3 linked regions of the Coturnix japonica genome follow. The protein of the gene in region 3 interacts with the protein of the main gene of each other region in a pairwise test. Links are inferred from orthologs where the notes say so. Each region holds a gene or a part of one and is shown on either strand. Other genes may lie near its edges. The genes, in order: UNC119, PDE6D and ARL15.

What was found.
Region 1: the proteins of ARL15 (region 3) and UNC119 interact in binary tests that used the Homo sapiens proteins (3 or more experiments, as listed by UniProt). The link is inferred for Coturnix japonica from reciprocal best matches to the Homo sapiens genes ARL15 and UNC119.
Region 2: the proteins of ARL15 (region 3) and PDE6D interact in binary tests that used the Homo sapiens proteins (3 or more experiments, as listed by UniProt). The link is inferred for Coturnix japonica from reciprocal best matches to the Homo sapiens genes ARL15 and PDE6D.

The regions. Positions count from the first base shown.
Region 1 is NC_029534.1:4,518,029-4,522,154, reverse strand, and holds the start of UNC119 (protein unc-119 homolog A), read left to right. Parts: upstream 1-1,289; 5' UTR 1,290-1,345; coding exon 1,346-1,463; intron 1,464-4,126. UniProt on the Homo sapiens protein: Involved in synaptic functions in photoreceptor cells, the signal transduction in immune cells as a Src family kinase activator, endosome recycling, the uptake of bacteria and endocytosis, protein trafficking in sensory neurons and as lipid-binding chaperone with specificity for a diverse subset of myristoylated proteins.
Region 2 is NC_029524.1:13,401,765-13,406,175, reverse strand, and holds the start of PDE6D (retinal rod rhodopsin-sensitive cGMP 3',5'-cyclic phosphodiesterase subunit delta), read left to right. Parts: upstream 1-1,539; 5' UTR 1,540-1,656; coding exon 1,657-1,706; intron 1,707-3,268; exon of another isoform or gene 3,269-4,411. Other genes in the region: COPS7B (COP9 signalosome complex subunit 7b), read right to left, coding at 621-1,001. UniProt on the Homo sapiens protein: Promotes the release of prenylated target proteins from cellular membranes. Modulates the activity of prenylated or palmitoylated Ras family members by regulating their subcellular location.
Region 3 is NC_029547.1:17,911,080-17,914,696, reverse strand, and holds part of ARL15 (ADP-ribosylation factor-like protein 15), read left to right. Parts: intron 1-2,601; coding exon 2,602-2,810; intron 2,811-3,617.

The sequences.
Region 1 (4,126 bases), on a different chromosome or scaffold from region 3:
TTATTATTTGGGATCTCTCGGGAGGAGCTGCCCCCTGAATTCCTGGTGGAGAGCCCAGGGAATGAAGGAGTGGCCGATTGGGAGCTGGACCGCCTGCTTTGGGCCCATACATTGGAGAATATTGCCACTGTGTCCACCACCTTGACCTCACTGGCGCAGCTGCTGGACCAGATCAGTAACATCGTCATCAAAGACGACGTCGCCTCCGAGGTACGACTGGTACAGCCTGATGTGGGGAGTGGAGGGGTCAGGAGCTGCTGGCCCCATGCAGAGCAGTGGGGCACTGCCCAGGAACGAGGCCCCTTAGCTTTGCTTCTCTGGTGCTTCCTGGTTGAGGACTGACTGCTGTGCTGTTCCCATGCAGGTATACCGAGCGGTGGCTGCAGTGCAGGATGCCGTGGCAGAGCTGGCTGAAGGCCGCCTGCATTCAGCTTTCCAGGCCAGCAAGGAAGCTGTCACCTGCTCGGAGCGGGCGTTCTTTGACCCTTCTCTTCTCCATCTTCTTTACTTCCCGGATGATCAGAAATTTGCCATCTATATCCCTCTTTTCCTGCCCATGGCTGTCCCAATCCTCCTCTCCCTGGGTAAGATGCTCCGAGAAGCCAGGCAGAGCAAGAAGGAGCCCACCAAGATGGACTGAGCCCATATACGGTGCCTTGCCTTGGGGCTGGGACCTCATAGAGTGCATTGCATCACGGTGCAGGCAGGTGCTCACAGAGTCTTGCACCCTCCACTCAGAACTGCTGCTTTACCCCCCTCTTTATTGAGACTTGAGGGGAGGGAGGGTGACCTGCATGCACCCCACAGCCCCGTGCTGTGTTCATGTGTAAATAAAGAGCTGCCCTGCCCAATCCTGCCCTGTTGTGCTGTGGGGGCTGTGTGAATCTCTCCCACTCTCTGGGCTTTGGCCACCTCTTGCTTTGGACTGAGTCCCGTCTTAAAGGTACGTAGCCCATATAGCACCAAGTGGGGGTGGGGAAGGGGGTTGGTGGGGTTCAGCTGTTGGTGGGCAGTTATGAATGGGGTCTGTGAGCGTTGGTTTAGAGACACATTACTGGGGTCGAGCTTTTCCCTTTGGCACATTAACAGGGGAGCTCTCGTATTGGGGGAGCCCTTTTGGGGTCGTACGGGGGAAACAAGCACGTTCATCCCGATGCTGTCGGGATGCGATGAGGGGCTTTGGGAGCGATGCCGGGCGGTGCTGCCGGCGGCGCTGGGCTGTACCGTGCGGGGGGCGGGCCGTGCAGGGGGCGGCGCTGCCCCTCCCGGTGCGGCGGGGCCGGCAGCGCTGAGCGGGGCCGCTCATAGCGGAGGTAGAGGAGGAGGAGGAGGAGGCGGAGGGGCCATGAAGGTGAAGAAGAGCGGCGGGGCCGGGGGGGCGGCAGCGCGGACCGAGGAGGAGCTGGGACGGAAAGCGCTTATCGGGCCCGACGACGTGCTGGGGCTGCAGCGGGTCACCAGCGGTACGGGGCCGGGGGGGGGCACCGCGGTGATGTCGGGTGAGGGATGGGGCGGCAATTTGGGTGGGATGGGACACCCAGCTTGGGGAGGGGGTGCTTCCATTGCGGAGTGGGACCCCCACTGCAAGCCGGGCTGGACGTGGGATGCTGCTCATTGTGCCCGTCCTATGGGTGGGCCAGGCTGAACCCCACAGCTGCGGGGGGAAGAGAGGGATGGAGGGGTTCGGGATGGGGTCACAGATCCAATGGGAGGAGTGTTGTAACCATCCTGCAGCCTTCCCAATAGGTTTCCCCTTTTCCACCCCTATAGTATTGCTGCGGTCTTGAGAGCATCCTGTGGGGCTGGAGGGGCTGTTGTGCTCTGCTGGGATTGCAGCGTGCTGGGCTGGGAGATGGCACATGCTCCAGGCCAACCTGGCTGTGGTAGTGTCCTCCTATCCACCCCCCAAAGAGCCTTTCTATACCCCCGTGTGTGTTGTGTCTCTGCAGGGGAGGAGGGGGCAATGATGGGTGGCTGTGCTTGGAGCAGGAGCGATGCTGCAGGCAGGGCTGTGCCATGAGAAGCCCCAGAAAGAAGGGATGCGGTTGTGGGTATTGGGGGCTGAGCAGCACAGGGATGGGTGAAAGGAAGGAGGGGAGGAAGCCCTGCAGATAGTGCTGGTCTGGGGGGTCTGTTGTGTCTCTGTTTCCCTGCTGAGATGCTGGGCTGTGACTCACTGCCCAGGCCCAGCAATCAGAGCAGCAGGCACTGGAGCGTGCTGCCAGCGCGCTTGGAAGAGCAGCAGTTGGATGGTGAGTCCCAGCGATGGCTGCGCTCAGTGCTTTGCTTCTTGGGAGCCCACGTGGCCCTGCATGCAGCTGTGCCCTCTTTGGGGGGCTGCAGGCACGTGGCCACCCCCTGCCCTTGCTCATGGGGCACGCAGACCTCATGTGGATTCAACTCTGGGCATCCTGGCCTTGTTGCTGCTATTTGCTCTTGTGTGCAGGAAGGCTGAGCTGATCGCCCCATGGGCAGCAGAGCTGCTCTCCTGCCTCTTCTTGCACTCAGGCAGTGTCTTACTCTGCTTCTGCTCAAGCTTACGGTGGAGGTGTGAAGTTGTGATCCAAAGGGACCTGTGTGCCATCCTATCTCTGGTGTATAGGTCCCTGTAGGTTTGTATGGAAGCCCAGATACAACTCCTTCCTCATTCTTTCTCCTCGCAGCTTGGTGTGTACAGCATGCAGCCTTGGTGCCCGTAGTTAGGGCAGTGTCTGGGGTGGAGCCTTTGCCTGGCTGGAATTTGGAGGGAGGATATATGGGGTAGAGGGCATGGGGAATGCAATGCTCCTTGGACCATGAGAAAGATCAGCACGTAATTCCTCCTTTTAACATCAGGAGAATAAGAGGAGCTGGCAAGGACTTTGTGGTATCATGGTCATGTATGGCTTTTATAGGGTGTTACAGTGGTGATATGTGTTGGGATGCACTAAAAGGACCATCAGAGGTTGTTGGATGGAGAGACACGGGGTTAAAACTTCTCCCACTCTTCCACTTTTCCCTTCTTAGTAAAGCTCTCCTCTTAAAACTACTTGAATGAACTCTTCCCATTGCAAACCTTAGTGCCTGTACCACCAAGTCATCCCAACTTATGACCACAGCCCTTTGTATCCCTCTGACCCCTGTTTTGATGCCCAGATCCAGGTGCTCCAGCCCACGTGAAGCTGACACAGGAGCTGATGGTTGGGAATTGCAGCAGTGCCACAAACATCCCTCCCAGTTCCAGATAACTCATTTTTATCCAAACTTCGAGGCCAATACCGCAGCAGCTCTCACTATTGAACCCATTCTACTGCTCATGGCTCTCCTCCTGATGTCTTTTTAATAAGCTTAAAGGGGGAGCGTGCAAGCAGTGCTGCGTATCTGTGCCGTGTCCTTCCAGTGTCACATCCTACATGATGCTAAGGTCAAACCTGATGGACCCAGGGGTGCTGCCCTGGTGCATGTGGGTCTTTTGTAGGGCTGGGTTTAGGTGTAAAGCAAAAGGCCCGTTTCCTTTGCAATTAGCAGGATTTGTTACTTGCTCATCCAACTGTGGTTACAAAAAGAGGAAAACCTTGTGACGCGATTAACTGGGGATTAGCAAAGGGAGCAGGGCAGAGCTCAGTTCAAATTGCAATTAATTACTGCAGCAGCAGGAGGATCAGAGCGGTGTGTCTGCAATTATTGGGGTGTGCATCTGCCGACGTCCTGCCTTGTGGGGCAGGGAGAGGAGCCGAGCACTGTCCCCGATACCTTCGACCAGGCTGAATGTTTGCTAGGTCACGCTGTGCTGCTCCCACGTTGCCTGCAGGCGAGGTTAATTCCAGCACAGCTTTGATTTCTTTGTCTGGCTTTGGGATGGGAGCCATGGGTGGTCAGCAGGAGGATGGCATAACAGCATTTGCAGTGCCGTCCCCTATTGCCACGTGACGATGCCAGTTGTCCAACTGATGCATAACCAAGGGCAAGCTTCAGGTTGAGAGCACAGCACTGGGCACCTGCACGGTTTGCCTGTGCTGCTGGGATAAGGCTTATCTTAAGTTTTACTATTCTAGGTTTCATCCTAAGGGCTCCTTTTGATGCCAGCAAACCGAGAGGTTGGATAAATGATTGATGACATACTTGGAAACACTTACAAAACAAAGCC
Region 2 (4,411 bases), on a different chromosome or scaffold from region 3:
AAAGACACATCTGGATGGTGGCACATATGCAGTTGTTTGACCCCTTCCATCAAGTGTCAGATGGGAGAAGACCTCAGCTTATGAGCCCGTCTCCCTGGGACACAAGCTCTTGTAGCAGTACCTTTGGAGAAGAGCATTGCAATGTGCTTTGGGGAGGCAGAAAGGAGGCTGGAGGTGTCTCCTCACCTGCAGTGACAGCTCAGAGACTGTGATGCCTGCCAGAGGTGTAAAAGCAAAGGTGAGGTTTTTAGAACAAAATGGTTCAAGGGAATAGTGAGACTTGCTGCAATTTTCTTGCAAGAGAAAGTATTTTGAGAGGAAAGAACTCAAGGTTTCTGTCACTCTGAATCACAGAATATCCTAAACTAGAAGAGACCCATAAAAACCACTGAACCCAACTCCTGGTTCCACATAGAACCACTCAGATCATGTGTTTGACAGCACTGCGCGGGTGCTTTTTGAACTCCAGCACCCAACCAACCTCTAATTGAAGAACCTATTCATGATATCCAACCTGAACCTCCTGAGTTACACTGTCCCACCACACGCTTCTTCCCTAGTTTTAGGAGGGGAAATGGGTGGTTTTTGAAGCTGAGACGCAGAGGCTGCCAAGCACGTACCTCCTCACACAGCGTGGAGAGTTTGGGCACCCATGTCAGAACCACAAAGGCCCCAACACCGACATCAGGGCACACTCTCGTGTCAGGAGCCCTTCGCTGCCGTTGCTCGCTGCGAGAGCCGCTTCTGTCTGGCTGCCACCTCCCTGTAGCCCTAAGCGGGGCGGTTCGGAGCCCCCTGTGCTGTGGGTAGAGCAGCATGCTGTACTTCTGCCCCGCAGGCTTCTCCCTCACACACAACCGCTCGCTCTGGCCTTCTCCAGCTCTGCTGCTGCCTGCGCTCTCCCTGTCTCCCTGCCAGCTTTTCTTCGGGAGCGTTCTCTGCCCTTCTCTGGACGCACTGGGTAACGCCGGGCTATCCAGAACACAACAAGGCTGCTCCATGTCAGCTAACGGGGCGGTCAGCGCTGCCCACCGCCAGCCTTAATGGCACTCATAGGCTGTGCCGTTAATGGCACTCATAGGCTGTGCCGTTAATGGCACTCATAGGCTGTGCCCTCGTATGTTCGACGCCTCGCGGTTCTCTCTCCTCAGCGTGGCAGTGCTGTTGAGGAGCTCTGTGGCAGTGTACGCGGAGCCCCCAGTTGTCGTCCCGCACGCAGACTGTTATAAGCCGTGTTAACGTATTAACGAACGGCCGGCACCGGACACGCGTCCCCAATGGGGCCGGGCGAGGTTTGTCCCGCGCCGCCTCCCGTCCCCGCCGACGTCACTCAGCCCCGGCCGGGCCCAGCGCCTTAACAAGCTGCGCAGCCGCCCTTATATCAACGGAGGGGGAGGACGCGCCGTCCGATTGGTCCATCCCGCTGTCCTTCATCAACCAGCAGGGGCGTCGGCGGCTCGCGATTGGTTGTCCCGTCGGGGCGGGGAGAGCGGCCGCTGGGATTGGCTGCCTCGGCCGGTGGCGGGTGCGAGGGAGTGCGAGGGGGCGGGGCGGGGGGTCGTGAGGCGCCGCTGTCAGCGCCGCTCCCGGCCAGGCCCCGCGCAGCCAGGACAGCCCGCTCAGCCCGCCCAGCCCGCGGCGCGGCGCGGCAGGACCATGTCGGCCACGGACGAGCGGGCCAAGGAGATCCTGAGGGGCTTCAAGCTGTATCCTCACCGAGGGGGAGCGAGGGGGGGGCGGGCGGGGCTGGGGGAAAAGGGGGGGGGTGGCTGGGTACCGGGGTTTCCCTGTGTGAGGGCGGTTGTCATGGCAGCTCTGCCACACACGGGGCTGTTGTGTCGCGTCCCCCTCTCGGCCTCGCGTTGCGGGTCCGTCCCTCTGGGCGCTGGGCCGGGGGCAGCGCGGGGCTCCGAGCGGGCACTGCTGCGTCGTGCCGGGCCCTGAGGCGTCAGCGCTGCCCGAGTCCGGTTGTTAACGCGTCTGTCTGCGGTACGCGATGAAAGTTTGCGCCTTGTCGCTTGGCGTGCTGGGCGAGCACCAGTTTAACGCCGGTGCAGTGAAGCAGAAGTGGGAGCGGAGGGTCCTGAGTGCGGCCTTGCAACCTTGGGGATGGGGGGGGGGAATGACGGCTCAGCGCATAGGTCTGTGTGTGTGTAAGGGTGGGAGATGTGTACAGCTGATTTTACCGTAGCAGATTCTACTGCGCATAGTGGGCAGGTGCCAGCTTGGCCTTAAGGGGCAAGAAAACCAGTGGCTGTATTTTTTTTCCCCCCATAATGGAAAGGACAGAACCAAAGTGAATGAAAGGACAGAACCAAAGCGAATGAAAGGACAGAACCAAAGCGAATGAAAGGACAGAACCAAAGCGAATGAAAGGACAGAACCAAAGTGAATACCCCTCTTGCTCCAATGCTGTTATTCCTGAGCATATTTTTGGCCAGCGAGGTGCTGCTAATCTCTGTGCCAGCTGCAGCAGAATCTGAGTTACTCAGTTGGATTCAGCTGCTATCAAACTATTGGCAGATGCTTTGCTGAACTTATGAATCACTGTCCCCTCCCCCCCAGCTTTTAGTTCTGCAGCTGGTTCCTTTGCTTCTGCACTGGTAATATTGACAGTTCTTTTTGTTTGTGGAGCTGTAAGATTTTGGCTGTCAAAACACAATTTAAGCGTGTTTTGTGCGAGTAATTAGGAAAAGCATAAGCTCCTGACAAGATGAGACTGAGCTTTTGGTAGAGATGAGAAGGGTTGGAGAGTTAAACTTAAGGTACAGACTTTCACGTGTTTGTTTCTACTGGTTTGTGCACGTGCTTTGCCAGAAGCAGAATCTGAATGAAGGTCTGTGTCCAGCTATGGATGAAAAATCACTTCCATTGTTTGGTAACTTAAATAGAAAATGTTTCTTGACCTGGTGTTAAAGGTAAACCTCAATAGCTCAGATTGGAAAATCAGGAAAGTATTTATCGATGTATTGCATAGATGGGATTTCTTGAGTTGAGATAGTTGAATAATATGCAAGTATTAGAAGGAAAGTGACAGAGCAGGCATTCCTCATTTATGAGAGAAAGCCCTGAGACACCACAGCATCCACACAGGAAGCAGTTCGTGCCCAGATGTGGCCTCATTCTCTGTAAGGCAGCCACCAGCTCAGGCTTCCTTTTTTTGACAGTGTGTATTCTAAAACAGTACATTTGAAAGAGATGCTTTATCTTCTGCTCCCTGTGCTGAAGTATGTGTTAACTTGGTGCCCTCAATAAGAAAGGAAGAGAGAAACATCCTCCGGGAAGCTCTCAGGTTTATATTTGGAGTACTTGAACTTCTTCCTCCTCCCAAGAAGGAAGGAGCACACCCTGCAAACTTGCTGTTAGCACCAGAAGCCATCACAGCAGTACTTTAGGTATGGCATAAAAAGAAATAAGTATATCCAAGGTAGGTTTATTTGGTAGAGGGCATCACTGAGGAATCAGTTTTCTCACTTGAATGCAAGAACACACACTTTGGAAATGGAGTTTGCATTGAGTACTGGAGCACCCTCAACTAAAGTCTGTTCATTTGTGGTTTCTGAGAAGAGACTAACTACAGGCTTTCAAGCTGATTGGGACATGCTGCTGTGCACATTAAATTACAGCCTAAATCCACCCTCTGACTTAGCACCAAGATATGCTTCCCTTCCTTTATGACACTAGCACAGAAGCATGTTGTGGCTAGCGTCAAATTCAGACCAGGGTATTTTACTCCCTCTTCCCATAGACTTTGTTACTTAAGAAGATGAAAACCGAAAGGAGAAATATTTGATACTTGCAGACAAAAGAGGTTTCCCACTTTATTACACTAGGATTTTTTTATGGCACCAGTAAACTAAACACCAACAGCGTAGTTAATGTGTTACGATAAGAGATGGAAAGCAACCATCAAGATCTTCTATAGCTTGTCACTTCCTAAGAGACAGTACTTGTTATCAGACCTCTCAGGTACATTCATCAACTCACTGTTCTAAGGATGCTGCTTAAAATACAGCATCTTGGTGGTCTGGCACTCTGAGAATACATTCTAGTTGCTTGTCCATAAGTAATACCAGTTCAGTTAGCTAATATTCCAAAGGAAAGCATCAGTAATTACTGAGCTTCATTTCCACAAGCTTTTATACACAGCTGGTCCTGTAATCTCAAGTGCATTCGGTCTGACTCTGCTCTGTGCTCTGTCACTCCCTCTGTAGCTTCCTCCTGAACTGGGGCAGTTTCTCCATCAAACTGCAGAGTGGTGTTTTAATTGATCTCTAACCAGCAAGGAGAAAGGAGTTCAGCAAAGCCAGCTGACTCTTGTAGCATGGTTAAGGTACTAAGTAAACATACCCATTTTCTATTTTAAAACTTACAATTCAGGCAAGATATCACCTGTATTATTTGCTCTTTC
Region 3 (3,617 bases):
GAACCAAATAGGAGATGTGAGCATGTGCTTATCCTGCTATACAGAGCTTTGGGGGTTAGTTTTTGTTGAATAGAATTTTTGTGAAAAATCGAAACTTCTTGGTATGCTAAAAAGGCTCTTTCTCCTAATGGATATGAAACTCTGCTTTGTTAAGGCTGAACTGGTGGAGGGAAGTTTAGCATCCTAGTTTATCATCATAAACCATACTTACACTTTATTAAACAACTCTCATTTCCAGAAGTTTCGATTTTTTGATTCAAGCCAGAAATAGCTTTGATCCTTTCAAAGACTAAAGCTGATTCAAACTTCTGTGAGCTAGTCAGCAGAAGGACTAGACAGACAGAAATAACACAGCTGTGGTAGACTTACTGTGTTCTTTATATGCCTGCTGTAGAGACAGACGCATAAAGAGCTTTCCGTTGGAGATCATGGGTGCTGTAGCTGAAGGTGACTCAGCTTAGATAAGCTGGTAGCAGTATTCAGCCTGGGAAGCTGCTTTGCTGTTTCTGCAATCTGAACTTCTATGGTATCTCCATAGGGTAGTGGAGGGAGGGTGGAGATGGAATAATAGGAAGAGAGGAAACCACTCAATGATTCCCTCTCCTAGAAGACAATGTATTTGTGTTTCTAGAGAAAGAGCGAAGAAGAAACGAGTGAGTTTCAGAACAGCTGTCAGACATAAAATGCAGTCCACTGTGGTTCTGCCTACTACAATTTATCAAAACTTCAGATATGGAATTGAATAAATATTAGCATGTGATATATGGCATGTATTTTCTGACTGTCCTTTTAAAATAATCTGTAAAATCTCATGACTAGAGACAGAGATTATTTTAAATCACGTGTTTTACTTTAAGATGATAGTATAATACACATAATATACACACCTAAGTGGATCAAACTCACTTTTCACAGACATATATAAATTTCCATGAACTTCACTTTAGTAGAAGCTTTCATGCACAGACTCATCTACCTTGAAACAAGAGCTCTGTGACATTTGTTGTGCTATTGATGGAGACTTGCTGGAAGTTTGACAGCTAACAAATGTGAGACCTTTGAGTTCCTTTTTGTTGTTTGTTTTTTATGATGCTGTGTTCTGTTTTTCTGAAAGTACTGAAAAGGAGGAAAATAAAGATAGCTTCATGCAGCTATCGATGAAGCACAGTATTCACAATGTTTATTAGCCACCTAAATTGTGCTGAGCACAAAATACAGAGCCTGGCTGCTTGAGGTTCCAGTGTCATGAATACAGAGAAGGGAGTAACTCTGTGGAGTGAGATTTGAATACTCTACGTTGGATACTTAAAGGATATGGTGTGAATTCCTTCTGAAATAAGTTTTCACCTTTTTCTAGTAGCTCTTTTCAGTTGTACAAATTAAAGGAATATTTTAAGTATCATAGCAGTGTTATAGTAGTTATTTTACATTACCTTATCGTTCCGTGACTACATGTTGGTCAGAATATCTGTGGCAGTTGTTTTATTTCCCCAAAAAATAAAGTTTTCTTATCAGCACTTGATATCTGTGTCTAAACTGAAGTTCACTTTTTCCTATAGTTATGTAAGATTTGTGGTGTTTGCGAAGGATACCTTCAGCACATCTCTACAAATCACAGTCTTGCAAACATGTCAAGCTTTCTCCTAGGGTACTGCTGCTGATGTTCACTTTTTAATGCTAGACCCCATGAGTCTAGTGCCAGATTCAGACACACAAAGAGTAGCCTGTGTCCAAATTTAATTTAGATAGTTTGACAGCTGTCAAATATCTTGTTTCCCTACCTTAGCATTACAACATATGCTGTTCTCCAGGGTACACAAAAGCTTTCTAGATATAACCTTATTGCTTGGCTTCTGTTGAGTTGACTGAGTGCTGCTGAACTGTGCCCTAAGACTTACTGTCACACATAAGCCTGTAGTCATTCACCGTGTGTACTGTGGGGCTGGCTTTTCCAGAATCTGCAGTGTGGCTGACAGAGCAAAATAGTTGAAATGAATACTGTTGAAAATTACCACCTTATCACTCGCTATTCAAGTCACAAGTGTATTAACTTCCTTATCATTATACATGTAATTGTAATTTTAATAGGCTTTCCTGACACCTTTTTTCCTTGATTACAAGGTATTTGAACATTTGGAGGTGTGAAATGAAAGACTTTATCATACTTAATAGCGAACAACTGACAAGAAGGAAACTGCAGTTTACAGCTATAGGGCTAAGGTAGAATGGATGGAAAAAGGCCATCTTCTTCATGTGTTTATATCAGGATATTTCAGTGAGAAAGTATGGGATTAGCCGAGATTAGGTGGGATTAGTGTAGTAATTCTACTAGTGCTTATTTACAGAGCAGACACTTTCAGGGCCTTTAGTCACTTTTGTTCCGTATTTAAATGATGTTAGTTTGTGTGCGTTTGTGTGTGCGTGTGTGTGTGCGCCAGCTTCATGGATTCTTTTTCCCTTGTTCTTTCAATGATGTATATTTATGAGAAAAAAAAAGTTGATTGCTTTGATTGTTACAAATTGAAGCATTATTTTCAATTACAAGTTTTAAAGGTGTTCAATTATATTTGTTCTAATTAGTTATTATTGTTGTTTTAAAAGGTGCTGACAATATCAGGAAATACTGGAGTCGTTACTACCAAGGATCCCAAGGGGTAATATTTGTATTAGACAGTGCCTCCTCTGAAGACGATCTAGAAACTGCTAGGAATGAACTACATTCAGCTCTCCAGCACCCACAGTTATGTACTTTGCCGTTTTTAATACTGGCCAATCATCAAGACAAACCAGCAGCACGCTCTGTACAAGAGGTACGTTATCGTGACATTACCTGGCCTGTTTGTTTTTACTGTCTGCACACTGCTGACCCGTTATTATTTACTACCCTGATGTCCTAGTTAAGGACTGGTTTCAGTCATCCTTCTCTCTCCCTGCTACTAAGGATTTATTCCAGTGCATTATCAACAAGAAGTACTAGGATACAAACAGAATTCTCCTGCATTTTCTTTGTGATTTGCTTCAGGGTATAAAAAAATTTAAACTACTCTTCTCAAAAGCTGCTATGACAGTATTTTATGGGTGTTTTGTTGTTTGTTTTGCGTGTTGGTATTTATTTGCTATTAGTTTTAGTCTGTCCCATCACTCCATTCTTTGAAATTGCTTAAACCAATAGGTTGTTGGCTGTCGTGAGGAGCCTTTTACATAAAAGCTTTTTACCTTAACTTTTATAAACTGGTGTGAGGGCATAGTTGCAGTTCTTTTTCTGAAGTTCTTAACCTGTTCTGATTTTCTTCTTTTTAGAAGTAATATTTTTCTCTTGTATCCCCCATCTGGTAAATCATGTATCTTTTCTATTCAGTGTACTATTTGCTTTTACGTTTCTGAAAGAAGTCTTCATTGATACTTTCCAATGAAGTCACTTATCATTGAGGAAATGCAGAAAGTTGTTTATTCATCATAAGAGCCTCTATTTCTGAAGTTACAAGAAGAAATTCAGTTGTGTCATTCTGTTTGTAAATGCCATTTAAAGGACTCTTCACATTAAAGATTGCATGTGAAATCTTGTTTGTTCTTCGAGTCATGTTTTTCATGCAGCAAAATTGAGACTCTTTCAGCAT